Linked DNA regions of Rhinolophus ferrumequinum. The protein of the gene in region 3 purifies or fractionates together with the protein of the main gene of each other region. This does not show direct contact. Links are inferred from orthologs where the notes say so. Each region holds a gene or a part of one and is shown on either strand. Other genes may lie near its edges.

Evidence for each region.
Region 1: the proteins of BACH1 (region 3) and MAFG purify together in Homo sapiens (affinity purification with mass spectrometry; 5 studies listed by BioGRID and IntAct, counting the BioPlex papers as one, with this or other methods). This does not show direct contact. The link is inferred for Rhinolophus ferrumequinum from reciprocal best matches to the Homo sapiens genes BACH1 and MAFG.
Region 2: the proteins of BACH1 (region 3) and MAFF purify together in Homo sapiens (affinity purification with mass spectrometry; 3 studies listed by BioGRID and IntAct, counting the BioPlex papers as one, with this or other methods). This does not show direct contact. The link is inferred for Rhinolophus ferrumequinum from reciprocal best matches to the Homo sapiens genes BACH1 and MAFF.
Region 4: the proteins of BACH1 (region 3) and FAM83D purify together in Homo sapiens (co-immunoprecipitation; 3 studies listed by BioGRID and IntAct, counting the BioPlex papers as one, with this or other methods). This does not show direct contact. The link is inferred for Rhinolophus ferrumequinum from reciprocal best matches to the Homo sapiens genes BACH1 and FAM83D.

What each region holds. Positions count from the first base shown.
Region 1 is NC_046304.1:54,701,840-54,708,715, forward strand, and holds the start of MAFG (transcription factor MafG), read right to left. Parts: upstream 3,021-6,876; 5' UTR 2,967-3,020; intron 2,771-2,966; exon of another isoform or gene 2,685-2,770; intron 2,035-2,684; exon of another isoform or gene 1,867-2,034; intron 511-1,866; exon of another isoform or gene 200-510; intron 1-199. Other genes in the region: PYCR1 (pyrroline-5-carboxylate reductase 1, mitochondrial), read right to left, coding at 5,596-5,761, 6,664-6,827. UniProt on the Homo sapiens protein: Since they lack a putative transactivation domain, the small Mafs behave as transcriptional repressors when they dimerize among themselves.
Region 2 is NC_046293.1:8,823,933-8,831,399, reverse strand, and holds the start of MAFF (transcription factor MafF), read left to right. Parts: upstream 1-4,450; 5' UTR 4,451-4,758; exon of another isoform or gene 4,759-4,763; intron 4,764-7,467. UniProt on the Homo sapiens protein: Since they lack a putative transactivation domain, the small Mafs behave as transcriptional repressors when they dimerize among themselves.
Region 3 is NC_046285.1:96,011,910-96,019,248, reverse strand, and holds the start of BACH1 (transcription regulator protein BACH1), read right to left. Parts: upstream 3,011-7,339; 5' UTR 2,954-3,010; coding exon 2,720-2,953; intron 1-2,719. UniProt on the Homo sapiens protein: Transcriptional regulator that acts as a repressor or activator, depending on the context. Binds to NF-E2 DNA binding sites. Plays important roles in coordinating transcription activation and repression by MAFK.
Region 4 is NC_046306.1:17,395,221-17,402,433, forward strand, and holds the start of FAM83D (protein FAM83D), read right to left. Parts: upstream 3,006-7,213; 5' UTR 2,991-3,005; coding exon 2,514-2,990; intron 1-2,513.

The DNA.
Region 1 (6,876 bases), on a different chromosome or scaffold from region 3:
CCCACACCCCACCCTCACTTTCTGCTTCCTGAAACCCCACCAAAAACATTTTTGTACTCCTAGTCCTGGGATCCTGGCTACAATAGCTGCCGCCATACCGTGCCCCCCACTTTCCAGGTTGGATGCAGGGCTAAGACAGACTGCGTTCTCCCTCCTGGAGGAGCACTTCAGGTAACTCTGGGCCAGGTCGCCTTCTTACCCTCACTGGAGCTAGTGTGGGCTGGGGAGGTAGAGGCACGAGTGGGCTCCAGGGTGGACTGCACCTACCCAGCCTTGCATCAGGAAGCAAGGCTGCAGGAAGGAGGCCACAGGCGTCTCCCCACAGCCAGGCCGCCCAGGGACTCAGGCAGCCCTGGGAGCCCAGTTCTTCCAGAGAGGAGGCTGAGCAGACCACAGCTGGAGGTGAGGAGGTCCTCAGGGCCCCATGCCCAGCCTGGGCCAGGCCCTCTCGGCAGTGCACAAGCTGGGGTGTAGGGGCCCTGTTCTGTGTCCTACCACTGTCGGCCCAAAGGAAAAGCCCCAGCACCAGCTTTTCCCACCCCCATGCTCCCTCCACCCCTGACTGCTGAGCACAGCGGTGACTTCCTGAAGAGATCACACAGAAAAGTGCTTCCTCAACAGATTTCAGCCTCCGCAGAAGGCCTGAACTCAGCACAGTGCAGCCAATTGCCTCCTAATCAAAGGTGTGTGTGAGCAGGGGGGAAGGGGCAGCAGGTCTCAGGAAAGCCAGTGCTTCCAGCCTCCTGGCCTGGCCTCGCCCAGTAGACACACACTGATGGGACAGACACAGCTTTGGAGATGGGGTGGCATGGGAATGATGGCTCAGGGCACCCCTAGAAGCCAGGCGGAGGGGATCCTAGAGGCCAAATCAAGAAACTGCCCCCCCACAACTCTCCTCCCCACCCCAAAGGCTGGACCAGAGCTGGGGCTCGGTCATCCTCCTTCCTCAGCTCCCCCATAGGCTGAGTCCACCTTGTGGAGAAGGCCCAAACGGCCCGCATCCACCAAGGTACCCTGGACCATCCACTCAGGCCGGGAGCCAGTCAGGAAGGGGCAGGAGGTCTGGGCAGCTCCAGCCCCTTCCCCTGGGCCCATACTCCAAGGCATGGACACGAGGCAGGAGGCAAGACAGCCAGCCTCTGCTCTTTGTCCTGGCCTGCAAACCCCAGTGGCCAAACCTTCCAGGCAGGCATGGCCTTGGGCACTCTGGCACCCTGACCTAGCCGGGCCTCACTCCCACCCTGCCTATCAGACCACCTCCTCCAGAAGCCCCCAGCCACTAAAAGTCACTCTGAAAAAAGTCTAATACTTAACTTCCACCGAAGCCTAATGTACTGAGAAGACTTAATGCAACACCCCTCCAGAAATCTGCCCTTTCCTAGGGTATAAAATTCCAGGCAAAAGATCAGCTGAAGAGTTAAAACAGCTGGCATCTCTAAGCCCAGGCAGGGCTGACTGTGTGTGCGTGTGACTCGGAGAACAAACCACAAGGCCAGCCTAGCCTGGCCATGAACCCAAGGCAAGAAGGGTCAGCTCTGGTCTAGACGAAACACTGCCCTACCCCTCGAGCCAGCAATCACCCACACACCCAGGAGAGGTGGCCCAGGCCACACGACCCTCAAGTGGTCACTTCCCAACAGTCGCCATCACCTGGCCCAAAACCCATCAGGGCCGCGTTCTCCGCTAACCTGCACAACACTGGGCCCCAACCTCAAGTGAGACAGCTAGCGGTGACTGGGAACTGCACTCTTAAACCCCAGCCCACCTGCTGTGCTCTGCAGGCTAGGCACCCACCACGCTACCACCACCCAGAGCCTCAACCCAGACTCCAAGGCTGGGCTGCAAAGAGGGGCAGGGCCTGCTCACCAGACACCTTGATCCCCAGTGCCCACGTCGTGCGGCTCCCTCTCATGTGCAGTCTCCTGGGAGCGCTGCGCCTGCTTGCCCCCTTCCCTGTCCACTTTCACCCCGGGACTCCAGTACAGGCTGTGCTACGCTGGGCTCACTGGGGGAGCCCTGGCTCCTGGCTCAACCCCACCCTTTCCTCCCCCCTACCCGTTGCCCCTCCTTCCAGGAGGCCCCACTGCCTCCCTCTCTGGCCTGTGTACCCCTCTCTTCCCTGCCCAGGGGCACCCAGACTGGCGGACCAGACCAGTCGCAGGGAAAGCCTGTTTCCCGCCCCCTAGCACGGCCCCCCTAAGCTCCTCCCCTCCTCTCACTCAGAGAACTATTTCCCGGTTAGGAGAACTGTCCCAGCCTTGGGTCGGGAACCAGCCGCTGGAGAAGAGCATGCCTGGGAGGGATGGACAGGCCAGGGGCTTCACCTTCTACCGCGCCGTGGCCCCTCCAGTTCCTCCTCACCACCCTGCCTTCAACTCGCACCTCAGTCCAAACTTAAAAAGCCGCCCCAGCCCCTGGGCCCGGCTCCTTCTCCACGTCCCCACGGTTCCCTTCCACCCCTCGTTTCCCCGCCTTTCAGGCCCCAGGCCCCTAGCTCAGATCCCCCGGGCACCGGGATGAGCATCCAGTGACCTCATGCTGATGACTCAGCAAGTCTCCCTCGGGGCTCTGGCCCGCGTGTGACGGAGCGAAAGCGACGCGAGCTGGGTCTTCCCAGCGCCCCCACGCCAGCCCTCCCGGGGCCCGCCAAGGACCCCTGCACCTGGGGAGGCGGCGACACACACCTGATGAATCAGCAGCTCAGGCCCGGGCCGCCGGGCTCCTCCGCGGAGCCCTGGGCGCCCAGTTCGACCCCACCCTTTCCTCCCGCCGCCCCGGCCGCCCCTCCCTCCACTGAGCGAGCCCCGCGCACGCCCCGCCCGCTCTTCGCCGCCCCGCGGCCCACCCCCAGAACCTGGGCGCGGGGGCCAGCAGTGCCCTGCCCGATGGGGAAATCGAGGCACGGGCCGCCAGCGGCGCGCGGGGCAGACCCGAACCCAGGAGCGCCCGGCCCGCGCCGCACTCACCCACCACACTGCGGGCCCGGGCGGGCCGAGGCCGGGGCGAGGGGCGGCGGGCGCTCCGAGGCCGCGCGGGGCTGGGCCGCGCGGGGGCTCCGGGCCCGGGGTGGGGGCTCGCCGCCTGCGCGGGCCGGGCCGTGCGCGCTGGGAAGGCTGGGCCGGACCAGGCTCGGTATCCGCCGCCGCCGCCGCCGCCGCCGCCGCCGCTCCACAGACGTCACATGATGTTTGGTCACGTGGGCTCCATTCATGAAGCGGCGACGCGACCCGCCGGGGCTTAAAGGGGAAGGCGCGACGGCGGCGGCGGCGGCGGAGGCGGAGCGCGCTCAGACTGCGCCTGCGTGCCCGGGCGCCGTCGCCCCGGCAACGCGCACCGCCCCCTGCCCGGGCGGGGTCTCGCGGGACTGGCTCGGGCGCGCCCTCCCCGGCGGCCACGCCCCCACCGGCCTTCAAGGTGGGGCCTTGTGACCGGTTCGGCCGCTTTCCTGACCCTTGTGTGCTGATACTTTCAAAGTCCATGTGTCCAAGAGGCCCGCTTCTACCTGCCCAGGGTGGGGGTCTCTGCCGGGGACTCACTCCTTAGGCGGGCCCTGCATGGACTCCAGGCCCAGCACTGGCCGCAGTAGTGGGTACGTGGGGAGTGACCAGGCCTGTCGGGGCCACCCTGGCAGACGCGGGAACGCAGCCCTGGCCCTGGTTTTTTCTGTTGTGCATTTTCTTCTGTGTCTCCTGTCTCCCTTTACGTTTGGAGGGCTCCCCAAAGTGTCTCCTCTGCCCACCTGCGTGCACGGGGTCTTGGTTCTGAGTGGGCCCAGGGGGAGGGGAGAACTGGAGATGAGATACTGCCAATGCTGTTCCTTGAAAACCCCCGCTCAGGAGCTCTCCTGATCCCCACCACCCTCCTGCCCTTTGGGGGACCCCACCTCTTGTTCTGAGCGCCCCTGGCACATCCTAGCTGCCCAGACCAGGTCCCCTAACCCACCAGAGCAGGGGTGGGTGTAAGTGGTGTCAACCTCTGAGGCAAGGGGCCTCCTCTTACTATCTTCACGCTCTGTGACTACTTTTTGATGTCAAATGCAAGCACTCTGGCTCCATCAAGTGTCCTCTCCGTCACTCCTCTGATCTTGCGATGGTTAATTTTGTGTCAAATTGACTGGGACACGGTGACCAGATATTTGGTCAAATATTATTCTGGCTGTTTCAGTGAGGGTGTTTTGGCATGAGATCGGCATCTAAGTCGGTAGATGTTAACAGATTAACTTCTGGAATGTGAATGGGCCTCATCCGACCAGTTGAAGGCCCAAATGGGACGAAAGGACCAAGCCTCCCTGCTGTGAGAAGTTCCCTGCCTTTAGACGCCACCTGCCTGGTGCTCTCTCGGCCTGTTGTCCTTTGAGTTGGAATGTCGGCTACCTGGGTCTCCAGCCTGACGCCCCACCCTGCAGACTGGACTTGCCAGCCTCCATAGTTGTGGCTAAATCTTTCTTATATGTAACTTACTATCTATCTCCGTGTCCTACTGGTTCTGTTTCTCTGGAGAACCCTAATCTAGCTCTCTACGGCCCTCCTGCTCCAACTGCCTCTGCCTGGGTGAGTGGGGGCGACATATGCCCCCACTAAGCCCGGAGATGTGAAGGATGCAGAGGCTGGTGCTCCCCCCACAGTGGGGAGCAGAGCAAGCCCAGCCTATGGTGCCAGCTTCCCAGACACTTCTAGCGACTGGGGCTTGAGGAGCTATCCCCTTCTCTAGAGGCTCCCTCCCCTCTGCTCACGGGGAGACTCCAACCCTGGCAGCCTAGCTACCTTGGAACTAAGGGCTCTGGGGCCCGGGGACTACTGGCTTAGCCTTTACTATTACACCCAACAGCAATGACCCCCTGTGGCAGCTGGAGGCCACCCTCCACACATGCTGACAAAGTCAGAAGTTAGGGCACTGGGCTGGAAACCAATTTATTTAACCTAAAAGGCCAGGGAGAGAAGTGACAGTGTCTGTGGTTCAGGTCAGGAATGGGGGACAGTGGCCTGAGAGTGCTGGTGGCCTTGGAAATCCAACTGTCTGAGGAGCCCTTTTCTCAAATGTCAAATGGGGATGAGGGGTGATGAGCTGGCCTAGAACTGTGGTCCCTCCCATTGGACTCAGAATGCCTGGGATCCTCTGGTGCTTCCCACACTGAGGAAGGAGGTGTTCCCCCCGCCCCCACCATGAGTGGAGGTTAGGGAAGTAGCAGATGTGGGGCGGGACTCCCCCCTTTCGCTAGACCTTCACAGGGGCCAGGGGGAACCTCGACCTTTGTGCTCAGGCCAAGCCTCAAACCAGCTAACGCTGAAAGGTGAAGCCCCCAAACCCCGCTTCCTGAGCTCCTGAAAGGTGGTCCTGATTTGGTTTGGGGCAGAGGAAGTGCAGGTTTGAGGTCAGAGTCCATCCCTGTTCTGGGTCAGGAAGCATTAGGGGACTGTGGAGATTCCCATTGGCTAGTGATGTGGCCCCTCCCTGGCTATGACGCTGGCTGACCCCAGGTGACCAAAGTCGTGGGCAGTGGGCCACCCTATGTGGCGTGGGGCTAGACACCCAGCACAGGAGCTCTGAGCCAGGAGAGAGAAGGTGGCGGGCAGCCTGACAGGCAGGTGAGACACTTCAGTCTTTCTTGCCGGTCGGGGCCATGCTTCGGGGAAGCAGCTTGGCGTGGCCAGAAGGAGCCAGCAGGGCCCTCGGAGGGGAGTCGAGCTTCACCTTGTCCAGGACAGTCTTCTTGATGGCAGCTGGCGAGACCTTCTCGCGGTCAGCCATGGATTGCAGCTCCCTAGGGAGGCAGTGAGGGTTGGGTCCAGGGCTCTGCCTCCTTCCTGAGCCCATGTGCCCATGAGGGAAGAGGGGTCAAGGCCCACAGCTCCCGGCACCTGCCAGCCCAGGGTGCTGCAGTGCTGTCACACCCCCTTCAGGGCCCTTGCACCTGCAGTTCCCTCTGCCAGCTACCCTCCCCTAGACTGCTATCTGCCTCCCTCTCACCTCATTCAAATCGGCTCAGTCACCAAATCTAGTGTCAGGCCCCCAGACTCTGAGCCCTCACTGTCCTGAGCACAGGATATGTGCCTCGTCTGTCTCCCCTGTGGGTTGGGGCCAGCAGGGCAGCACTGTGTTCTGGCCTTGTTGTCATGTGGTGGCACTCGGAGAAGCCTGGGGGGTTAGACTGGAGGGCAGGCGGGGGCTGAGAAAGATGCCCGTCCATCCTCAGACCTGAATAAGGGACAGTAACTCCGAGCTGAGACACCAAACTGTGTCTGTCTGTGCTCTTTCGTTTTTCTGGCTGCTCTCATGGAGCACACTGCACCGCGTCCTGCTTGTCTAACTTGCTTAACCTCCCCAGCCAGGCTGGGACAAAGGTATTATTGTCAGGCCCACAGAGGTTCCTTCTGGTTCCCCTGGGCCCACCTCCCCAGCTTGGATGATCACCCCAGTCTGACGGCCACCGGTGATGAAACCACGTGGGGAGCAGAGTGAGCACCCAGAGGGCTGCCCCTCCCGGCAGGACGATGGGCACTGCAAACCATATGCCAGGGAACCTCGGGGCTCCCTGTGCCCTGCCCACAGTCAGGCCCGAGCTCGATAAACATCCACTGCGTGGATGACTGAGGAGACGAGTGAGGCTGAGGGCTCTGGTGCACTGGGCGGGAGGCCCGGGGGCTGGCAGCAGCAGGAACCCACCGTGTACGGATGCAGGAGGCCTCCACAGCGTTGATGAGCAGGGAGCGGAAACCCCCACTCTCCAGCACGTGCAGGGCGTGGATGGTGGCCCCTCCAGGAGAGCAGACATTGTCCTTGAGCTGGCCTGGGTGCTGTTCTGAGTCCAGTAGCATCTTGGCAGCCCCCTGCAGCCAGAGAAGATAGGCTGACGGCTGTGGGGGCACCCAGCCCCCT
Region 2 (7,467 bases), on a different chromosome or scaffold from region 3:
AGGGCTTTGTGAGAAGGAAAGGTTGAGTTATAAAGACACTGAAATGTGATAAAAGGACAATTTTTTTTTTTTTTGATAGTTGGTTTATTTAGCAGTGGAGAAAAGAACCAGGAAAATATATATGATGCAAACAGGTCTTAGGCCCTTAGCACAGTGCCTGGCACACAGGAAGTGCCCCATAAACACAGTAATATTAATAACTATGTAGTAATAGCAATAAGCAGTAATAAGAAACTGGTAGGAGGTATGCAAAGGTTGGAAGCGCCCAGAACAAGGTAAGGTGCCAGAAGGTGCTGAAAGAGATCCTTCTGACATCACTCCCAGCCAGCAGGGGGATCCATGGGAAATGTAGGACCTGGCCCAGCTGATGGAGGGCTGTCCTGCTGAGGTGGGCAGGGAAGGCCCAAGCGTCTGGGGACAGGACCTCATGAGGGCCCAGAAATCAAATCTCAAGGCAGGAAGGGCCTCCATGGAACACCCAATGGGAAAATCTTCAAGCCAACCCTGGTCTCCTCCACCACAGCCCAGCTTCTAGCTGTCTTACAGTGGCGGACACACTGCAGAGTCAACCTTCATTTAAAGAAAGTTTACTGTGGTTTGAGGATGTTTAAAAACCACTGACCTAATCCTACACTCTCACTGGCAGGTAACTGAAGCCAAAGTGAGGAAAGCCCTCTAATGGGGTCAGCCAGGGTGTGATCTGAGCCGCAGATCCGGGGCTCGGGTCAAGCTCGTCACTGTTACTGAGCACCTACTATGGGGCAAGGCACCTACTGTGGACCAGGGTCCCACAGGGACGTGCTTGGGTGCTGTCTGGTGATTTGGACTCCCGGGCAGGTGAACAGGGACCAGCTGGGCCAGTTAGAGTTCTGCTGGCAAAGAGCAGCTCCATCCCAGAAACTGGAAACAAGGTTCCTCTCTGTGGCAGGAGGTGGGGTCTCTCCAGGATTAGGTCATCGCTGGCTTTGTGTCACTCACCAGGGAAGAAGCAGATTTCTCAGAGGGAGTGTCCCAGGGGACTCCAGCGGACTCTCTCTAACCCAATATTTATTGCTCTTTTATATCATACTAGGCACTGTGCCAAATGCTTATAAGTGGGAACATGTTAAATTGTTTCACAATTCATGAAACAGGCACTGTTAATACATGAAGTATATAGCCCCTTCTACAAAGGAGGAGACTGAGGCAGGGAGCGGTGAAGACAGTCAGCTGGTAAGGGGTGAGGCCAGGATTTGAGCCCACGGGCTAACTGGAGAGCCCCTGCTTTGGAAGGAAAAAAACCCAACTTTTTTATTTAAAACAAATTCTTAGGAATAATAGAGAATTTCTGTATTGTATTCTTCCAGATCCCCCAATTGTTAATATTTCATCGCATTTTCCTTATAATCCTCTATCTGTCTGTCTGTCCATCCACTCATCTATCTATCTTGCTCTGAACCATTTGAGAGTAAATTGAAGACACGATGACCCTTTACCTCTAAACACTCCGGTGTGTATTTCCTAAAATCAAGGACATTGTCTTACATGACCTCAGGACAATGATCAAAGTCAGGAAATTAACATTGATACAATACTATAATCTACAACACTTATTTGGATTTTACCAATTATCTTAATAATGTCCTTATAGCCAAAGGAAATCCTGAGTTACACATCGCAATTAGTCATCATGTCTCCTTAGACTGCTTTAATCTGGAATAGTTCCCCGGTCTTTCTTTGTCTTTCATGATCTTGCCTCTTTTTTTTTAGCATTCCGTCCAATAATTTTGTAAAACTTCTTTCAATTTAAATTTGTCTGATGTTTCCTCACACTTAGATTCATTGTATGAATTTATGGCAGGAATACCAACAGAAGTGATGCTGTGTCCTCAGGGGATCATTCAGGAGAAACTCATGTCAATTTGTCCCTGATATTAACTTTTGTCACTTAGTGAAGGTGGTATCTTACAGGTTTCTCCATTGCAGAGTTATCTTTCCATTTGAATTAATAATTGGCTGCGGGGCAATACTTCGAAACTACCGTATGTAAACATGTTTGTCATAAAATTTTCTTATCCCTTGATAATTCTCATTGGAATCCATTATTACTATGGCGATTACCTAATGGTCATTTCTAACTCTATCATTCCTTCTACTGGAAGGAGGAGCTTTCCCTTCTCCTCATTCATTCATTCAATCATTCATTCATTTATACTTGTATGGACTCCTGGTTTCTTCTCTTATTCAATAAGTTGTAATCCATAATTACTGTTATTTATTTTGATGCTCAAATTGTCCCAGAGTTGGCCAGGAAACCCCCTTCAAGAGAGAGCTCCCACTTTTAAATATGACATTGCACCATATTCCTTAACCTTGACCAAAAATGGAGCCACATCTGTGGGATAAACAGTCCCCATTGGGTGGATACTGAAGCACTGACCCCCTAATGCAGGCAGGCTGGGGATGGGAATAAAAGATCTAGGCACCATGGTGTCCAGGGGTGTTGTGCAGTCCAACTAGTGGGAATTAGTTCACTGGATGAGCACCTGCTATGGCTTCAGCCCTTGAGAAGCTCATAGAAAATGGAGACCAACAATCACAATTGTACAATTTCTAAAATCCAGAACTTTTGTACCCAAATAGGTAACATGAGTTGTTCTTGTAGATATGTAAATGTAGTGCAAGTGGACAATTTGGGGGATGGGAGTGGGGAGGGGTTGTTTGAGTGCCAGACAAAGCTGCCTTATCATTTGGTCACTTGGGAAGCTAGTGGGCCAATTTGCATATGAAACCCAAGGCCTTTGCGAGATAAGAGATAGATGTCACAATCCCAGTTGGACCAAGGCTCAGAGGCAGGAAAGCATAACAAGGGCTCTGAAATCAAATTATATTATATCAAGGGAATGGGGAGCCTTGCTGGTACCCAGGGTTCCACCCAAAGACCTAGCTGGGGAGTTCCTATGCCTTCGGCAATAAAATAAAGTAGATGCTCTGATGTCAGCTTCACAGAATAGATGGCTCCTGGAGTGACGACAGACATTTCAGGCACTGGGACCAACATGAGCAAAGGAAAGGGAGAATAAACAGCAGTACTCCCCATTTGGCCCTCAAAGCTGCCTCTTCTGGGTAGGGCTCCAGACATTGAACACATCCATCAATTTATGCTGGGCCCTACCTAGTTGGGCATAGCCCCAAACATCTGGACCAGGAATCAGTCAGACCTAAATTTAAATTCCAGCTCTTGTACTTCCTTGCTGTGTGACTTAGGAAAGTCATTTTACCTCTCTGAACTTCCACTCATTTATTTCCTCAACATGTTCGCACAGGGATTACTCTGTGCTGAGCATGGTTGTAGGCACCGGACATCCGTGGTGAACAAGATAGACAAGGTTCTACCCTCATGAATCTTACATCTGGTTAGGAAAGACAGACACTAAATAGTAAGCAAATACATAAACAAGACACCCTATGGAGATATTAAGGTTATATAAAAACAAACTTTAGAGTTGGGGGTTCCTTTAGCCAGGGAGGTCAGGAAAAGACTCTCTGAGGCAGAGACAGCTGAGCGGACCTGAAAAATGGGAAAGAGCCCAGCAGTAAACAGAAAAGAAAATAGCAGGTGCAAAGGACCTGTGGCAGGTATGAGCTTGGTGTGTGTGTAAGAAGGGCAGTGTGGCTGCAGAGTAGTGGGTGGGGGCAGAATGACAGACAAGGCTGGAAAGTTAGCTAGGGGCCAGATGGCTTAGGGCCCTGGAGGCCAAAGGCAGGAATATAGTTTATATTCTAAATGCACAGGAAGCCAGTGAGGGTGTTAAGCCAGAGAGAGGGTGGGAGTGTGTGAAACAGTCTGACCTTTGCTTTGAGACGAACACTGTCTGGTGTGGAAAGAAAACTCTTAAGGGCAAAGTGGGAAACTATCAGGCGGCTGCTGCCATAGTCCAGTTTCCTGCCATAGTGCCTGGATCCGATGGTAGGGTTGGGGTTGGGAGAGGTGGTCAGATGCAGGACAGGGTTGGAGGTAGGTACATGATGTGGGGAGGAAGGGAGAAAGACAGATGGAGCGATGCTCCAAGGATGGGGCTTGAACTGCTGAGATGGGAAAAGCTGGGGGGTATGACCAGGAGGTGGATTTTGGCTGTGTAGTTTGTAGTCCTCATATGGCACCCACGTGGAGGCTCGCAGCAGAACTCAAGACAAGATGTTGTGCTCTGGAAATACAAATTGGTGGCTCATGGGCATATAGATGGCATTTAAAATCACGGGACTGGATGAGATCATCAAGGCAGAAGGTGTAGGTCGAAAGGAGAAGAGGCTCGGGACTGTCGACTGTAAAATGAGCCAAATGACACCTCCACCCACGCGGCTCTCGCAAGGTGTCACGTGAACTCATTTAGCCCGCGCTCTAATAGAGGTTGAGAACCCCGGGGCGGGGCCTAAGTGGGGCGGGGCGGGGCAGGGGCGGGGCTCAGAAGCCCAGAGGCCGCTCCCGGGCCGAGGGGCTGCCGGGGAGGTGACGTCACCGCATGACTGGGTTTTTATGAATGAAAGGAATCCTGTGAGTGAGTAATTCCGGGAAGCTCGCCTTACAACTCTGAGCGGCCCACCGCGCCGCCCGCCCCACAACAAAACTCGGTGCGTTGCTCCCAGGAGCCTGGCTCCGAGCGACCCGCGGTCGGGACCAGAGGGAAGACGGACCCGGGCGCCGGCCAGGACAGTAGCCCGCACAACAGCGGGACTCGATCGTGCCAGGAGCGCCAGGCGAAGCGGGCCGAGAGGCGGGTGAGGTACGCGGGTCCGGGAGGGGGCCAGGCGCGCGGGGCCCCGAGACAGCAGAGTCTCCGCGCCCTGGGAACGTGCTTGGGGCGGGGCGCCGGGGCCCACTTAGTCGGTGCTCCACTGTACCGATCGCCCAGAGGGCTGGCGTGTAGTGGGGGAAGGTGGGGACAGAGGTCGGGGAGACCGAGACAGGACGGAAGCAAGCTTGCGGGGGGGGGGGGCAGGAGTGATGGGCCCCTTCTGGGGGCGCCGGGTGGGAGGCGGCGAAGCAGAGCAGGAAGGGGCAGTGCGGGCTAGCGAGCGTCAGCGTCCGCCGAGGCGGGGCTGGGGGGGCGGTGTGTGCAAGTACGTGACTCGGTGAGAACAGTCCCTGGACCGGTGCCCGTGAGCCGGGCGTGCGCGGTTTGTTTACGTCCGAGGGCGGGCGTGCGTGTGTTCCCTGGCCTGCGTCCCGAGTATCCTGCCTGGTGCGTGCGTGTGCGGTGTACCGTGGAGAGAGTGCGTGTGTGTGTGTGTGTGTGTGTGTGTGTGTGTGTCTACCCGCCCGCGCGCTCACTGGCGGGTGAGGACCCTGGGGCTTGTGTTCCAGCGGTGCATACCTTGGAGAGAGTGTGCCCCCATGAATAAACGCAGAATAGGGACCCAAGCTAGGGAAGCGGCCCCGTTCGTGGTCACACGGGGTCCGGGAATTCTCGCCTGGGCTGTCCCCTTTCCACCAGCCGGCGGCGGCCGGGTCCCTGTTCTCTCCGGAGTTTCCCAGGGCCTCGGCCATGTGACCTGTGACCGCGGTGTTTGTCCCCCGCCCAGAACCGGCGCCTGCAGCCCCGGGGTGGGGTGAAGTATCAAAGACCCGGCCTAGCTGGGCTGGTGGTGAGGCGAGGAGCCCACCCCTCTCCCCAGCGCCTGGAGGGCCGGCACCCAGGTCCTTGTCCCAGGTTTTCCTGGCTGCCTGGGGAAGGCAGACCCTGGGACTCTCCTTCATCCCCAGGGTCTCCCGTCCCCTCAGTCTCAGGAGAAACAGGAAGAACCAGAAAACCCATGGCAAAGTGAGGTAGAAAGGAATCCCAGGCTTCCTCTATTTGGTGGCTACTCTGGCTGGTCTGGGTTCTGGAGCTTGTACCTGCTAGGTCTGGGAGGGTGGGACAGAGGATGGGGCGGAGCTGGTTTCTGTCCTGCTGGTGGTTTCAACTACAGGTGGGACTAGTCACACATACCTATTGATAGCCGGACCTGAGCTACTAGTTGAGGGCCTGGGCCAGGCGGAGTTCCCAGAGTCCTCACTCTGGGCCAGGCCTGGTCAACCGGCAGTGGGACAGGTGGTCTTGGTACTCAAAGGGTTAATGTGCGAGTGGTGGGGGCCCAACCTAGTTCTAGCCCCCCTTTATCAGCCCTGCAGAAAGCTTCCCTGTAGCTCAGTAGCCTGAGGCACGGGCTGGGGGCTCGGGAGTCCTTGGTCCTATCCTGCCCTCCCCCTCTTCTTACCCCTAGGGTTACAGAATTATGGGGGGCAGGCAATTGAGCTTGCAGTTGATCTTTCAGTTTTGAATCTTTGAGCCCTGGTGAGCTCTGCTACCACAGCAGGAACCTCAGTGTCCCCATATGTAGCAGAACTAGGCAACATCCAGGTGGCAGAATGGGGGAGGTACAGCAGCCTCTACACAGAGCCTGTTTTCCAGGGGAACTGTGGCAGAGAAAGCAGAGCCAACACCCCCAGGCCGAGGCCAGGGATGTCCAGGAATGTGTGGGGTACGAGTACAGGAGAGGGCCACCAGGAGCACAGGAACCAGGCAGGCCCATCCTTAAAGCTGGGCAGGAAACATCTCTGTGTTTCCTGAGGGTCGGGATGAGGGGAAGCGGCTGATTGACTCGCCGATGGAAAGCTAGCACTGAAAGGTTAAACCTCCCATTGGATCACCCCTGGGCCTTCACTCGGGCCTGGGACCCCACGTGGGGTCCCCTGGCTCCTGTGCCTTTCTCGGTCCTGATGCTTTTAGCCTGAATTGCTGTGGAGCCTGTCATGGGCCAGATGTTGGAGATGAGACAGTGAACAAACGAGACCCAGAGCCTGCCCTCTGGGAGCTTGCAGTCAGTGAGAAGAGACAAAGTTGCAGGAACAGCTACCACACTAAAGTAAAACCACAGCTAAGATGGGTGGTATGAGGGGGAAGTTACTGTGGTTTGAAAGTATATAGAACAGGCATACCTCACCTTATCGCGCTTCGCAGATATTGTGGGTTTTTTACAAATGAAGGTTTGTGGCAACCTTGCGTCAGGCAAGTCTATCAGCGCTGTTTTTCCAACGGGCTCAGATGATGGTTAGCATTTTTTAGCAATAAAGTATTTTTTAATTATGGTGGGTATATTATTTTTTTAGACATAATGCTACTGCACACTTAGACTTCAGTATAGTATAAACACAACTTTTATATGTATTGGGGAACCCAAAAATTCATGTGACTTGCTTTATTGACATAGTCACTTTAACGCAGTGGTCTTGAACTGGACCCACAATCTCTCTGAGGTATTCCTGTAACAAGACAATCAAGGAGGGGTTCCCTGAGGAGGTGACCAGTGAGCCAGGTTGTCAGATCGAGTGATGATTGTGAAGCCCTTCAGGGCAGGGGCTGCGATTCATCTTTGGCCTTCAGAGCCTGGCACACAGTAGGTGCTTCTTGGTGTTGGCTGATTGAATGAATGAATGAGTACTGGGTC
Region 3 (7,339 bases):
CCCTATTCACGGGAACTGTATCTTCTTCTTACTGACACATGAATTACGGCTTACTCACATGAGATAAATTAGGACATAAACATTATCACAGTTTCCCCACATCGGCTGAAATAAATAATCTATGAAACAAAGCACGATGGACACAACTTGTAACACATACAAAGTCAAGTGCCTGGTGCCTGTTGCCAGCCTAGCTCCACGAGACCACTATGTTCCAAACTCCAACTGCTATAAACTACAAAAGGGAAATTTTTAAGGATAAAAAACACTATATCTAAAGCACTTAAAGTAGTCCCGGTCCACAGCAAATGCACAGTAAATGGTAAAACACCAAAAATTTCTAATAAAAATTTTCAAGACTCAAATCTAAAAAGTGACCACAGTGAAATTTTAAAAATCATGCCTAGCACTGTTTCAGCAAAGATTCATGGACTCTAGGTAACAAACTCTTTAAGTGGAAACTTGTACTTTTACATGGAACTTGCCTCTGCAAAGTGAGGGGCAATGGAAGATACCAAAGTGCAGAGAAAGCCTCGTCCTGGGTTAAAAATACAAAATCAATTTTAAAACAGAGTACCTATAAGGGTGGTCAAGATATTATAATTTTTGTGATCTTCTTACAAATATTCTAAGCTGTGCGTACTTAACTAATTTTTAAATGGATTAAAATAAAAAACAGTGACAACACCAAATACTGGCGAGAATGCGGAGAAACTCAATCACTCATACACTGCTGATGGGAATGTAAAATGTGCAGCCACTTTGAGAAAGAGTCCGGTGGTTTCTCATCAAACTAAACATGCAATTACCATATGCCCCAACAATTACACTCTTGCTCTTTAATCCCAGAGAAATGAAAACTTATGCTCATACAAAAACCTATACACACATAAAATGTTCATAGCAACTTTATAGTAGCCCAAAATTGGAATTAGCCTGATTTCCTTCAATAGGTGAATACTTAAATAAAAACTGGTACATCCATTCCATGAAATACTACTTAACAATAAAAAGGATCAAACTATTGATACGCACAACTTGGATGAATCTCAAAAGAAATAAGGGTAAGTGTAAATGGAAAAAAGCCAATCTCAGAAGGTCACATACCGTATGATTGCAATTACATAACATTTTGAAATGACAACTTTAGAAAAGGAGAACAGATCAGTGGTTGCCGGGGTAAGGGTTGGAAGGTGGGAAGGAAGTGGGTGTGATTACAAAAGAGCAACACAAGGGATCTTTGGGTGTTGGAACTGTTCAGTATCTTGAAGAGGTGGTGGATTCATGGACCTGCACAGGGGACAAAACTGTACAGAACTTCACACACACACACACACACACACAGACACACACACTTAATACAGGGAAAACTGAATAAGATGGGCAGACTGTATTAATGTCAATGTCCTGGTGGTGATATTATACTATCATTTTGCAAAATGTTACCACTGGAAGAAACTAGGCAAAGCGTACAAGAGATCTCTCTGCATTTTCTGAATTTCAATTAATTTTTTAAAAATAAGTTAAAATAGCCAAAAAAAGGCTTTTAAGATAGTGAGTTAGTTATGTAAAGATATTTTCAATCTGCCACTTTAAATAATGAGACACTTTAAATATTTGAAAACTTATAGGATTTACACTCAAATTATAATGAATAATGCACATACACACCTTTTCTCCTGTACTCATGAATGAAACTTTGATCTACTTAGAAAGTCTTATTAAGTAATTTGAAAATATAGACCACACGAAGTATATGTCCATTACGATACGCACAGCTACATTTTAGGAACAATGACTAACCTATCATTGGCCTTCCTTGTCACTTTCTTGCTATTGTATTACTCGCTCCGACCTCTACCACGGAACTGACAATCTATTGATTCCCCAACCTGCAAATACGATTTCATGGAAGTATGCATGGCCAACGTGGCCTTCGTATCCATCACAGGGCAGCCCACACAGGCCTGCTGTACACAAAGAAGTCCTATATACTTTCTCCAAATTCCTCTTAACAAATTCTAATTTGTATCCCAATGCCACAAGGCTCAACGCTGTTCCAGTGGCAGTTACTAACTAACCAACCAAAGCTGTTCTAATACGGGTCAGTGTAACCAGCATTCGCCAGCCCAGAGAGAGGTCTCTTGGAGGCAGGACGTTAATAAGGACCCAAATGTTTAGGTGCTGGAGCTCCACACCAGGCTGGTGGAAAGAGATGTGTAAAAACAGCACTCTATAAATATAGCATAGAACCATCTTTTTTCTACCAATGAACAGACACATCTTCAAGAAAGGAGAAAGAGGAGAGAAAGAGCACAGTTATGGAGCACCTACTTTCCATGAGGCCGTGTCTTGGGGTGTAACTTATATAACCCTAAACCCGGTCACAGTTTTCCATCACAGGAAAAGGTCCAAAGGGAGAGAATGGCACACAGGCTGCCTCTCTGAGCATGACCTCTCCAAATGTCCTAACAGTGGGTCAAGTAATTTAACTGCTCGATAAACAGTTTGAACATTCAAAATTAATAATTTTACACGTAAGAGGTCATAATTTTATTTTTAAAAACCTAAAGAAATGTGTCATTCCAGAACCTGCAAACTGCTCCTGAGCCGCATGACAAGGAGACTGTTTTATTTTTAACTTAAGAAACCGTAAGAGATTTAACTAAGTTACATTAAATTAAAATCAGGGTGATTCTGGAAGGCACAGGCCTCTCACCTCTTCTGGTAGAGTAACGTGCAGCTCTGCGTCGGCCTGGCCTACGATTCTCGAGTGGAAGTAGCTGCTGCATGCCGCCAGCACGGACCGGTGCGCGCGGAACGGCTGGCCCTGCACGAGCACGGTGACGTCACACAGCACGTCCTTCTTCCGCTGGTCGTTGAGGCTGAGCAGCACGTTGGCGCTGTGCAGCGAAGACTCATAGGCAAACACCGGGCTCTCACTCAGAGACATTCTGCGTGACAAATGGTGCCGGGCAGCGCAGTGAAAGCATGCTTCTAATCGTCTTCACACCTGCAAAGGCACACAGGCACGATTTCGTTTCAGTAAAATCTTGTTAAAACTGTTTCAAAAAATGACAGTATCAAACATAAATTAAAATACTCATCACCAAAACAAAAGCCTCTAGAGAATCTAGGAGCATTTATTCAATTTACCTCACTTCAAAGGGGGTCTTGATAGTTTTTCTAACTAATTTTAGGGAAAGGGTTCTCAGGGTGGGGGAGGAAAGTTTTTGAACCAAGGATTACATGGCTCTCTGAAAGACATTTCATACTGAGAAAACACCTACAATGAGCAAGTAAGTGGGGCCAGGGAATCTCTGGGTGGCGCCCCATTCCTGTTGCTCTAAGACGTCAATGGGGGGGGTGTGGGTCCTGGATGGTTGCGGTTTGGAATGGGACTGAAGAGTGAGTGCAGCAGGCAGGCGGTGTTCCACCATTCTCCATGCCCCACTCCCCAGTGTCCCACAGGGGTAGGGGGACTTGGTGCTTCCTGACAAGGGACACATTCTACAAAAGGTCAATTTCCTCCAACACAAAGAAGCAAACAACTTCCTTGAGAAAAAGGCTGAAATTTGCCATGCCAGATCTTATTAATGAGTCTTTGTATGTAACGAGTCTCACCTTATACTACAAAATGTGGGCAACAAGGACAAGTACCTCACCATTCAGAACGTGGATTACTACCGTGTTTACCCCCAAATAAGACCTAACCGGCAAAGAAGTCCTAGCATGATTTTTCAGGATATCCCATGAACATAAGCCCCAGTGCGTCTTTTGTAGCAAAAATTAATATAAGACTCGGTCTTATTTTGGGGAAACACAGTATGCATAGAAACTCTTGGTTTTCTCAAAATGTGAAATCATAAGAGAAAGTTATCAAAAATGTGTATTTTTAAAAATATAAACATATAGCAGCCTCCCAACACTTTTTGATTACATACACACTACCTGCAAAAAAAGGAGCTTGTATGTACAAGCAATACATATATGTAAGTTTGTCTATACATTTCAGAAATGCACTATTCTTACATATTACAATGTTTTAAAGCACGCAGAGGCTGAAAGTAAGAGGTGAGAAGCTCTAATATTTTCTTCTAGACCCCAATGGCTAGTGGGCACCCCGAGTTGTGTGGTGTACCCTACTATGGCGTGCTGATCACGCTGAGGGAAGCTGACGGGCTCCTCCCAGGTATCATTTCTGTGCCGTTGACTTTTGTTCTGACGCCTTACTACCTGAAACACGAAGGTCCTCAAATGTTCAGTGACTGAAAAAAACTGTTACTATTTTCCGATTCACTATACTCCAAGTACAAATGAAAGGAGAAATAAGGACTACCAAAGTTCAGACAGACCAGGCCCACATCATGGCTGAATTCCACCTCAAAGACAGGCTGTTGTAGTCACAAACACATGAAATGCATCTAAACACTCTATTCTACTTGTGTGTTTATTTTTAAAGTATTCAATATAGCTGAAATGTTAAGTTCCTCAGAAGTAGTCAATGAAAATAAAATCTCTCATTAAGTGCTTAAACTGTATCCGACTTAGATCACAACCTATTATTTACTGATTCAGCATACCACGTGAAATTGGGGCAACTTCAAAATTATGTACTAGAACTAACTCAATGTTTGGGGTGTGACCATATGAAAGAGCCGTAATTGGTCTTAATATTTCAGTTATCAACACAAGGAACAGTATGGAAGAACCATCATTCAAAGAAATTATGTACCTTGTGCATGTGGTAACACAGAGACCACCACCCTCCACTGTCTCTAAGACTGTCACCATCCCCAGCCAAGCAGGACTCAACAGCTGACCACATGCCTTACTACTGTGTTTCCCCAAAAATAAGACTGGGTCTTATATTAATTTTTGCTCCAAAAGATGCATTAAAATCATGCGAGGGCTTATTTCCCGGTTGGGTCTTATTTTCGGGGAAACATGGTATGTCCCTGCACCCAAGTACCCAGCCTCCTTATTCTTTCCTACATCTGTCATGCAAACTCTTAAAACTATACTAGTCTTACTTTTACATCTTGTTATTCTGCTGAACATAGCGCAGCCAGGAAAAACTGTAAAGACATGCAGACTGGTGTCACTATACGTTAACAGTATGAAATCTCAGGGTCTCAGCACTGTTCATCAATTACTTTGTGTGTCCCTGTCTGCCATTCACAACAGCCCTCCGAGTCACCACTTTTCTCCTCAGTAAGCATCTCTCCCAGTAGACTACCATAACTGGGATCCAAGCTCAGAAAATACGCCCCTTCTACCACCTCCACAGGTTTCCTCCTGTTGAAAACAATCCACTAATTGTCTAGAGCTAATGTCTGCTCTTGATCTCATACCATCCTTGCTTCTCTGGAATCTAATATCTTTTCTTAACACCCTCTCTATGGCCCGTCTCTCTCTCCCTCTCTCTTTCTCTCTCTCCCTCTCTTTCTCCCTCTCTCCTGGCTCCTTCCTATAAGCTTTGTTCATAAACATGTTTAAGTCTCTCCAGAACCATCCTAAAAATACCAACTACTACCAGCAATTAGTAAGCTCTAATTCTGCACTAGGCACTGAACTGAGTGCTGGATACTATAGTGTATCTTACTGACTTCTCAGACAACCTATGACACCACGCTCTCATATCACCCAACTATGCAGAGAAGGAAACTGAGGCTCAGTGAGAAGTGTCTTGACCAAGGTCAAAAAACCATTCAGATGGAGAAGGGGGATTTGTACCTGGCACTTAAGTACTCCATGTTGTGTTTCTAGTTAGCATTTGCTGAATGCACAGTCTGGAGACCCCTGGCAGTAATGTGAAGAGCCAGCCAGGTTTTACTAAAACATCATGCATGAATATAAGAAAATGGGCCTCACAGAAAGCCAGGAACAAATGAACTGGACCTGAACTTCAGAAAGAGGACTCTTGACTCTTCAACACTAGAACCTACAAGTTCTTTGGGTCCCACAGAGACTACAGCAAAAACAACCCCATATCTTCACTCGAGGGCTACTGGTAGCCCACATGTGTGCCTGTGAGTAGCCCACATGTGTGCCTGTGTGGCCTGCTCACTACTCACCTCCGATTCCAGAGAGAGAATTTACTCTTGGCTCAACCCCCGTTTAAGTAGTTTGGGGTGACAGATCACCTCATACGTTCGCAGCCAGATTCCTGATCTGCTGTAAAACACAGATTTGAATGATATGCCAACCCCAGGTCCTATCCGCTGCAGCTGAGAGAAGCGAGAGAATCAGGCAGTAAAAGAAACAGCTACCAGGATGTCCCCTCTAAGAAGGGTCAGACGCCTTTAAAGAGGACTGAGCACACGCAAAGCAGGACTGACCTTGCTCCCACCAGAAACCAGGGACTCCCCTGCCACCTCCCGACACTCAGCCCCTGTATCCAATCTTACGGATACCTGGTGCGGTCTTCCTCTCCACACTGAGATCCACTTCTCTCCATCTGTCCTGTCACAATCCAAGCCATCAGTAGCTCTTTTTGCAACGGCCTACAAGCTTACCCACGTACAAATATAGTTATATAAAATAAAAAAGTGAAACAAAGTTCCACATATTAATATTTTATTCTTACTACTGCCAAGTACTCTAATTTCTACTGTGTTCTATTAAAAAAAAAAATTCCAGTTGTGATCCACTCAATTTCAAGAACCACTAATAGACCATCACCTCAAGCACTGAAAGCACAAGCCACGTAGCTAACAGCACCGGATCTAGAATCAGATACTGTCTGGGTTCAAATCCCAGCTCTGCCACTTACTAACTACGTAAATGACCTTGGGCAAGCTGCTATTCTCACTCGTTTCACCTGTAAAACAGGGATAACAACAGCAGCCAACTTGGCTGTTGTGAGGTTTACATGAGATAATAAGGGTGAAGGGTTTAGCATACTGTCAAGCTCATAGCAAACAAATACTAAATATTAGCTGCAATTATTGAAAATAATAACAAAACCTTCATTCCCTACAAGCCCCCCCCCTTTTTTTTTTTTTGGTTTAGGAAAGCCTGCTGATGCTTCATTGCCTGGGTCGGGCGGGCGGGGGTGTGGGACGGCGCCAAACTCCTTCCCCCCTCAAGGCCTTTACATATGCTGTGACTGCTCCCTGGATTTCTGCTCTGCAGCTGGCTAACTCCTCACCTGTTAGGTCTCAGCTTAAATGGCACAACTTTGACTTGTTTTCTGCCCCAAAGCATATAACAGAGCAGCAGGTCCAACGCAGGTATTTGCTTCTGAATGAATCACCTGGCCATTTTCAGTATAAATTGAAAACCTAGATCATGGACATTTTCTTTCAAACACAGCACAGTCAGCTATTCTAATATA
Region 4 (7,213 bases), on a different chromosome or scaffold from region 3:
CGCTCTCTTCTCTGTGGACCCCTCCTTGTAACCACCCTGGACACGTCTCACCCCTACGTAACCCACCCTCCTTCATGGTCCCACCAGAATTACTGCTCATAACACCGATCTGATCATGCCCCTCCCCTCCCTCTAAACCTTCGATGGCTCTCCACTGCTCCTCCAAGTAGAGCGTACCTCGGTTTTCCGACATCTCCATTGGCAAACATTTCGGTTTACGAACGCCATAAATTTTATGGATTTACGGTATCATGAGATAGTAAAATTCATGCTAAATTTGCAATTTTAGGGGTTGACTTTAAAGGTCTGGAACGGATTAATCCATTTTACGTTACTTTCTATGGGGAAGCCATGCCTCGGTTTTCGAATGTTTCAGAACTCGAACCGTCTTCAGGAACGGATTATGTTCAAAAACTGAAGTACCACTGTAATGTGCAAAGCTCTTGACAATCTGGCCCGTTTCCCCCTTCAGCCTCCTCTCCCACCGCTATCCCTCATAGATTCTCTGCTCCAGCTGTGAGGAACTCAGCTGCCCCCCAAACAAGCCAGGTCCTTTCACACTTCTGGGCCTGCCCCTGTCCTCTGGCCTGGCAAGCCCCACCCGTCCTCCTGGACTCCGCTCCAAGGTCACCACCACACTGGAGGTTTTCTTTCTTCAGCCCCTCCCCCACTACCTGTAGGAACCTCCTCACGCTTCCCAGCAGCAGACAGTCAACTCTCAAGAGCAGGCAAGGATCATGTCCTTCACCTGTGGCCCCAGCTCCTCGCACAATGCCGAGTACATACTAGGCACTGAATAAGCAAGTAATTAGCTACATAGCAGACACACTGAAAACACTCATCAGATTTAAAAGTATGTACCACGTTTATCAGTAAAAATCACCCAGGATCCAAATACAGAAATCTCAAAGCTATGAGGGTGTGGCTGGACTCGGGCAGAGAACAAAGCAGGAGGTTCTACCCAGCAGTGTCAGGATTACACAATGCCCCCAGGACAAAGGACAGCCTTAGCACCAGCCTAGGGCCCCTTCTAAGGCCAACACATGAGTTTATGTACAGTTTTCCCTCTGGCGTGAGCTCCAGTGCCCCTTCACTAGCAATAAAAATTGGAGGGCAAGAGGCGAAGGCAATCCCTCTCTTTCAAGGAGACCCGTTCATCATTTTTCTCAAGTTCCAAGGTCCCAAGTTCTCGTCCTGGAGATAAGTAAGCTTTGGGAATGAACGTAAACCTAGCCCACATTCGAGCCTGTTTCCATCTTTTTACTCTTCCTGCTGAACCCATATATTTCTGCTGCATCAAAAGGACCCTGAGCACACCCAAAGCTCTGCAGGACTGATAACCGGCCTAGGTGGAGACTACACCTGCTCCTCCAAAGGCAAGGCACTAGCCTATTGTATCCCCTACTTGCTACAACCCCACCGGCAGGCAAAGACTGGGGAGATTTGGGGTTTGTTCTTGGACTTGGCTACTTCAATGCACTTGAGTAGCCTCTCCCAGGGGTTACTTGATGCACAGATATCATAACCCAGGCACACTCAGGTACCATCCCTAGCGAGTCTGACCATGGCCTGAGGCTTTACCTGCCATGTCCCTGGCACAGGCACTGCCAGTCAGCAAGCAAGGTGGCGGCTGACCATGGCTCTAGACTAAGGTGTCTACCTCCGTAATGTCTTTTTATCAGCCCCACCCACCTGTGTGCTGCATTCTTCCTCGCTGATCCCCAGGTACCCAGCACCCTGCTGCAGTCTCATCCTGGCTGGCAGCGAGACAAGACTTCCCAATGCACCCCAATACCATGTCACACTAAGAGTCAGACAACTACCAACACCTACTGTGAATAGAGACCACCTAATGCAGGGGTATGGGCATTTTAGCAGGCCACGGCTAACTGCAGCATCCGCCAGCGGAAGGAGAAGCCACCCTCTTGCCCCACCCATTCACAGAAGGAGCAACTTTCCGGCCAGTCTGGCAGAAGGGAAGGGGACAGAGCTCTCACTTTGCCACTCTTGTACGCATTTGCTTTCTACAACCTAAGACACATGGAGGTGACTAGCAATAATAGATTCCTAATGCCCCAGAGTTGTCTCTGGGGACAATCTTTCAGGAACTTTCCCCCAGGTAATGAGCTTCTTAGGTAATGCAGCTCCTAAGTCCCTGAATTGGGATCTGGTGCTGGCTGACAGCCAGGAAAGTTGGCAATCTGGTTTGGTTTAACTGAAATTTAGAACTAGAAGTATTTCTGGTCCCCTCTCCCAGGGGATGTTTATGTTAGGAGATGGAATTCGGGCAAAATTGGCATTCTTGGCGACCGAGACGTCTCCCACTCTCCCCTACCATAAGGAGTGGTTGGGGGACCAGAGATCCAAACGGTAACATGCAGGATGGGGCGAGTCGGGGACCCCGGAGCCATAGGCTCGCGCTCCCATGAGGCCTCAGTACCCCATTTTTGACGAGGGTCTTCTGTCCGACCGGGGACCGAGGCGCCCCGAGGGGACGGGGCCGGGCCGCTCACCTCTCGCGCGGAGCGGAGTTGCTGGCGCAGCGCGTCCTTGCAGCCATAGGGGCCGCTGGCGCCCGCGCCGCGGGGCTGGAAGTGAGCCTCGACGCGCGTGGCGCCGCGGTAGGCGCCCTGGTAGAAGGCCGGCCAGCCGAGCTCCAGCATCGGCGGCTCCAGGTCCGACTGTTCGGGGAAGTAGGTGCCGGACGAGCAGTCGTGCGACGAGGCGAAGGAGTCCTCAGTTCCCCCCGCCGCGCCCTCCTCGCGGGGACGCTCAGCCGTGAGCAGAATGGAGCGCACCTCGTCGGGGTTGAGGAAACTACCCAGGCGCTCGCGTCGTAGGAAGGCCGCGAAGGCATCGGGGCCGCCCGCCACCAGCTCCTCGAGCGCCAGGCGCTGCGCCTCGCTGTACAGCTCGGCGAGGTTGGGCGGCCCGCACGGCGACAGGCAGGCGGTGGGAAGATCGTCCAAGCCCTCGGAGAGCAGAGCCATGACGGTAGTCGGACCCAACCAGGCTCGGGCAAGTGCAGACCAGCAGGCCGCTTTATAGGCACCTTTGAATCAAACTGGCCCGCGCCATTGGCCGCCCCGCCCGCCCTGGCTCTCCCATTGGCTGCCTCCCCATAACGGCGGAGGCCGGACGCAGCGCACGCCCCTTCGGCCCGCCCCTCGTCGTGCATTGGCTGCCCTGCGGCCTGACCCCATCCTACGCCTCCGCTTTGGCTGCTGACTGCAGTCAACCTCCAGCTTTAGTTAGGGGTGACTTCACGGAATTTAAATTTGGCGACTTGGTACCGAGCTCCCTACGGTCTGCAAGAGAGGGGATGAGGCTGAGTGGCCGCGCGGCCCGGGGCAGTGGCGCCGGCTGCAGAATCCGATCTGAAGCCTTAGAGTCCAGCCCCCGCCATCCTAGAGCGCCCCCTGCCGGTCTGCCCTAAGTCGCGGCCCTACAAGGCCCGGGGCGGTCAGACCTAGGCACCAGGAGGGGAGGCTGGCGCCTGCTCCCGAACACACTGCTGCTCCTGGGCTCTCAGAACTGGGGTGTGATGAGCCATGTTGCCTTTATCCCCTGCATTTAATCATTTATTCATTCATCCAAAAATACCGGTCCATCATAATAGCTGCTCCTCTGATTACACCCTCAGGTAGCTTTGTCTTCCCGTACTTCATCGTTTTTTGCCTGACAAAACTCAAATCCTGTTAAAACCCACTCTCCACCTACTTTCCACCTGCACGCAGGCAGCCATACTCGTACAGTGCTGGAGAAAAGAAAGCACAACCAGGCTGACTGGTGTGCCTTAAATTTATGATCTTAGATGGGCCCTTAACGTTTCCTGCTAGCCTGTATTTCCCTCATTCACCCTTTCCTCTCTCGTTAAGAATTTCTGTCCTATTTCACTGAGAAAATAAAAGCAGTCAGAGAGAACTTCCACTTGTTGTACCTGCATGCATCCTCATCTCTGCCTACATACTGGGCCTTCTGTTACTATCCATTAACTGTCGCTTCCCTTTAGGCTCCAGCTACCAGCCCTTCTAGTACTGACCTCTGTCTCGCCAGTAATTCTCTCCTCTCTCCTGGATCATCCATTTCCCTTCTTCACTGGTTCATTCCTATCAGCATTTGAACATGCTGAGATATTTTTCATGTTAAAACAACTCTCTCTTGACCTTTATTATTCCTTTAGAGTTTCGTCCCCGTTTTTCTGCTCAGTTTGATAACATAAAACCACAAATGAGTTTTCTCAACGTGCTCTGTCCAGTTTTCCTCCCATTCTCTCTTGAACCCTGTCCAATCCAGCACATGCCTCCTCTGCTCTACCAAAACCTCTTGTTAGGGTCATCATCAGCTCCACAGTGCTAAACCCAAGAGTCAATTTTCAGGCCTCACTTTGTGTAAATGAGAAAGCATTATGTATAACTGTAAAGTGCTTCTTAAATGGGAAAGGTTACCATTATTATTTAGAAGCCAATGAACTTTAAAAATAAGTGAATGGTTACTGCTGCAAAAATACCTGTGTTCTTCCCATCCTCTTCCCATCCCCAGCCTGTTTGTCAAGTTTTACAAGCCCAAGTATGAGGCTTTCCATGTGTCTCTGCTCTGGCATCCACTGTCCAAAAGGGTCCAAAAAAGCACTCTTTCCATCCTCTTCCAAGATACCAACAAACGTCTGCAAATGACAGACAAGGACCATGGTCTGGGGCTGTACAACCACATAGTTTGCCTCTGTTGTCTGAGGGGAAAAGTGAGAACAACCAGGGTCCCACCTACTGTGTTGTAATAATGTGAAGTAGTGTATAGTATTTTACCTCCTCACTATAAGCTGCATAGGAGAAGGCCTGGGGTGGGTGGGGGAGAAGAGGATAGGCCAGGTCAGTGCACTCTGAGAACAGAACAGAACAGAAGAGGAGCAGCCCTGTTACATGAAAATATGTCATCAGACAAACCTTTGAAAGTATAAAAGTATGAACACACACACGCACATACACACACAGTGCCAAAAAAAGTATACACATTTTAAGGAAAACTGTATTAAAATTGTAATACTCAATATATACCGATAACAAAAGATGAATACAAGTCACGTTTGACTTCTGCAATTACAAGAGGTGCTCAGAGTGGTTACCATCAGCATCCAGACACTTCTGATTATGGCGAATTGCTGCTTGAGCAACATTGACCAAAGTGTCCACTTGTATACATTTTTTGGCACCCCCGGCATATATATATACATATATACACTTACACATATGCACACACATATACATGTATACACATTAACATGGAGTCCTATAGTACCATATATATATATGGGACTCCCAAAGGGAGTATTGACAGAGTGAAAGATCATTCCCAACCATCCATCTTTTCTTGAATTCCCCAAATTTCACCATCTCCCAGTCTAGAAAGACATCTGCTATCTGCTCCATGTCTGAGACTTCAGAGATCCTTCCATTTCACGGGCCTCCTGGGAGAGCCTTCTTTGGGGGGGGGAGTGCAGGGATCCCCCACCTTCTACCCCAGGTATCATCACCTCTTTGTGAATTCAAGTCAGCACAGTTCAGGTGAGCTCACAGCAATGACCACAGGCACACTAGCCAGTGTTATTAAAAGGAATTTAATAATCTTAATTAAAAACTCTTAACAGCGAATTCCGTCACAGGCCTTGGCAGCTGGAAGCAACTTCAGGGGCGTGCCCCTTCGGGATGTGGTTGGGCCACAGTCTACCTGGTGAGGCGCTACCTGGAAGTTACTTCAATACAATATCAAAGATCCGCGAAGATTTTTTTTAAAAAAGTTTTAAATATATTAGACTCTCTTGATTGCCATTTTTACACAAAGCTGCTGATACAGTATACAGAGTTTTAACTTTTTTTCACATAAAATACATTTTTCTTAAGTATTCTCTGTACATCAGTGGCTTCTGGTCTGGTGAATTATTGCGGAGGGCTGGGGGTCTGCAGACTTGTCCCGGTGTGCAGAGCCAGGCCCCGCACGCGGCACTTACATGCCATGGGAAGCAGGCCCTCTGGCCAGCTGGCCAGCGACAGACTCCTCTTGAGGACAGGGTTATAGCTTGTGGCAAAGAGGGCCACTTCTGTCAGGTTATCCATGGAGCACATGACCCTTTGCTCTTATGTGCCCTGGGGAAGGGGAGGCTGTCCCCAGGCTACAATAGCAAGAGTTAAATATAGTCTTGCTGAGCATCTGGTAAGAAGCGCCTTCTGGAAAGTACCCAGTGCCCTGCTCTGGGAAAGCAGGTGGGAGAGAGAGCTCAAGATCAAAAGGTACCTGACTGATAACCCAAATGGTCTCGTGTTATTACAAAGCCAGCAAACTGTGGTGGGATAGGATGGGGCCACACCCATGTTAACTTTCTAAGCCCGTTTAAATGGGTCAAACAGTGCAGTTTCATCAATTGCCAGCTTTCTCCTAGCTCCTTCATCCACACCTGCCTGCCAGGAAGAGAGGCAGCATCATGAGGAAAGGCTTTGATGTTAAAGGAGAAGCTCCTTCTCCTCCTATTAGCCTTCGGTGGGGCAGGAAGATACATAAGAAATGAGCAAGAGACAATGAGTTTAAGAACCTGAGATGTACAGGGCAGTAAATTCCAGACTCTGTATTCTTCTAGACACTGACCTCAAACTGCGGGTACACAGTGCCCCAAAGAGGCTGGACTGAAGGCAGCTATCCCTGAGAGTTCCAGATGGACTTGGGATGGTGTCTGCCTGGAACCCAAGATCCAGCATCTGCGTTTAGTGGCAAATGTCATCCAGGAGTGGCCATGACAGCTGTTTCCTGGCTTAAGGGATTCATACTCTAGGGAGTCTAGGAGCTGAAAAGCAAAGGGATGCTGGATCGGATGCAGTCACTCTGTCTCAGGTGAATTGAATGGCTGCTGCTGACACATATGGTTCTCAAGGGATAAAAACTGTAACGAACAGTCTCCTCACTCTATCTTGTTCCTCCTTTTTCCCCAGACCCTAATATAGTGCCTGGTATTTCACAGCTACTTAATAAACTACATGAATGGATAAATGGATGACCTTAGCCCCAGTTCTTCCTTCAACACCTAAGAGACCTACAGGGAAAGTACCCCAGGTACTTGAAGCCCTAATAGGGAATAGTTTATCCCTTACTGACAATGTGAGCTAGTGCCCAAGAGTCTGTAATTGGCTCCTATCGGGGAGCTGGGCTTCCCAGCCTTCTGGGTGGC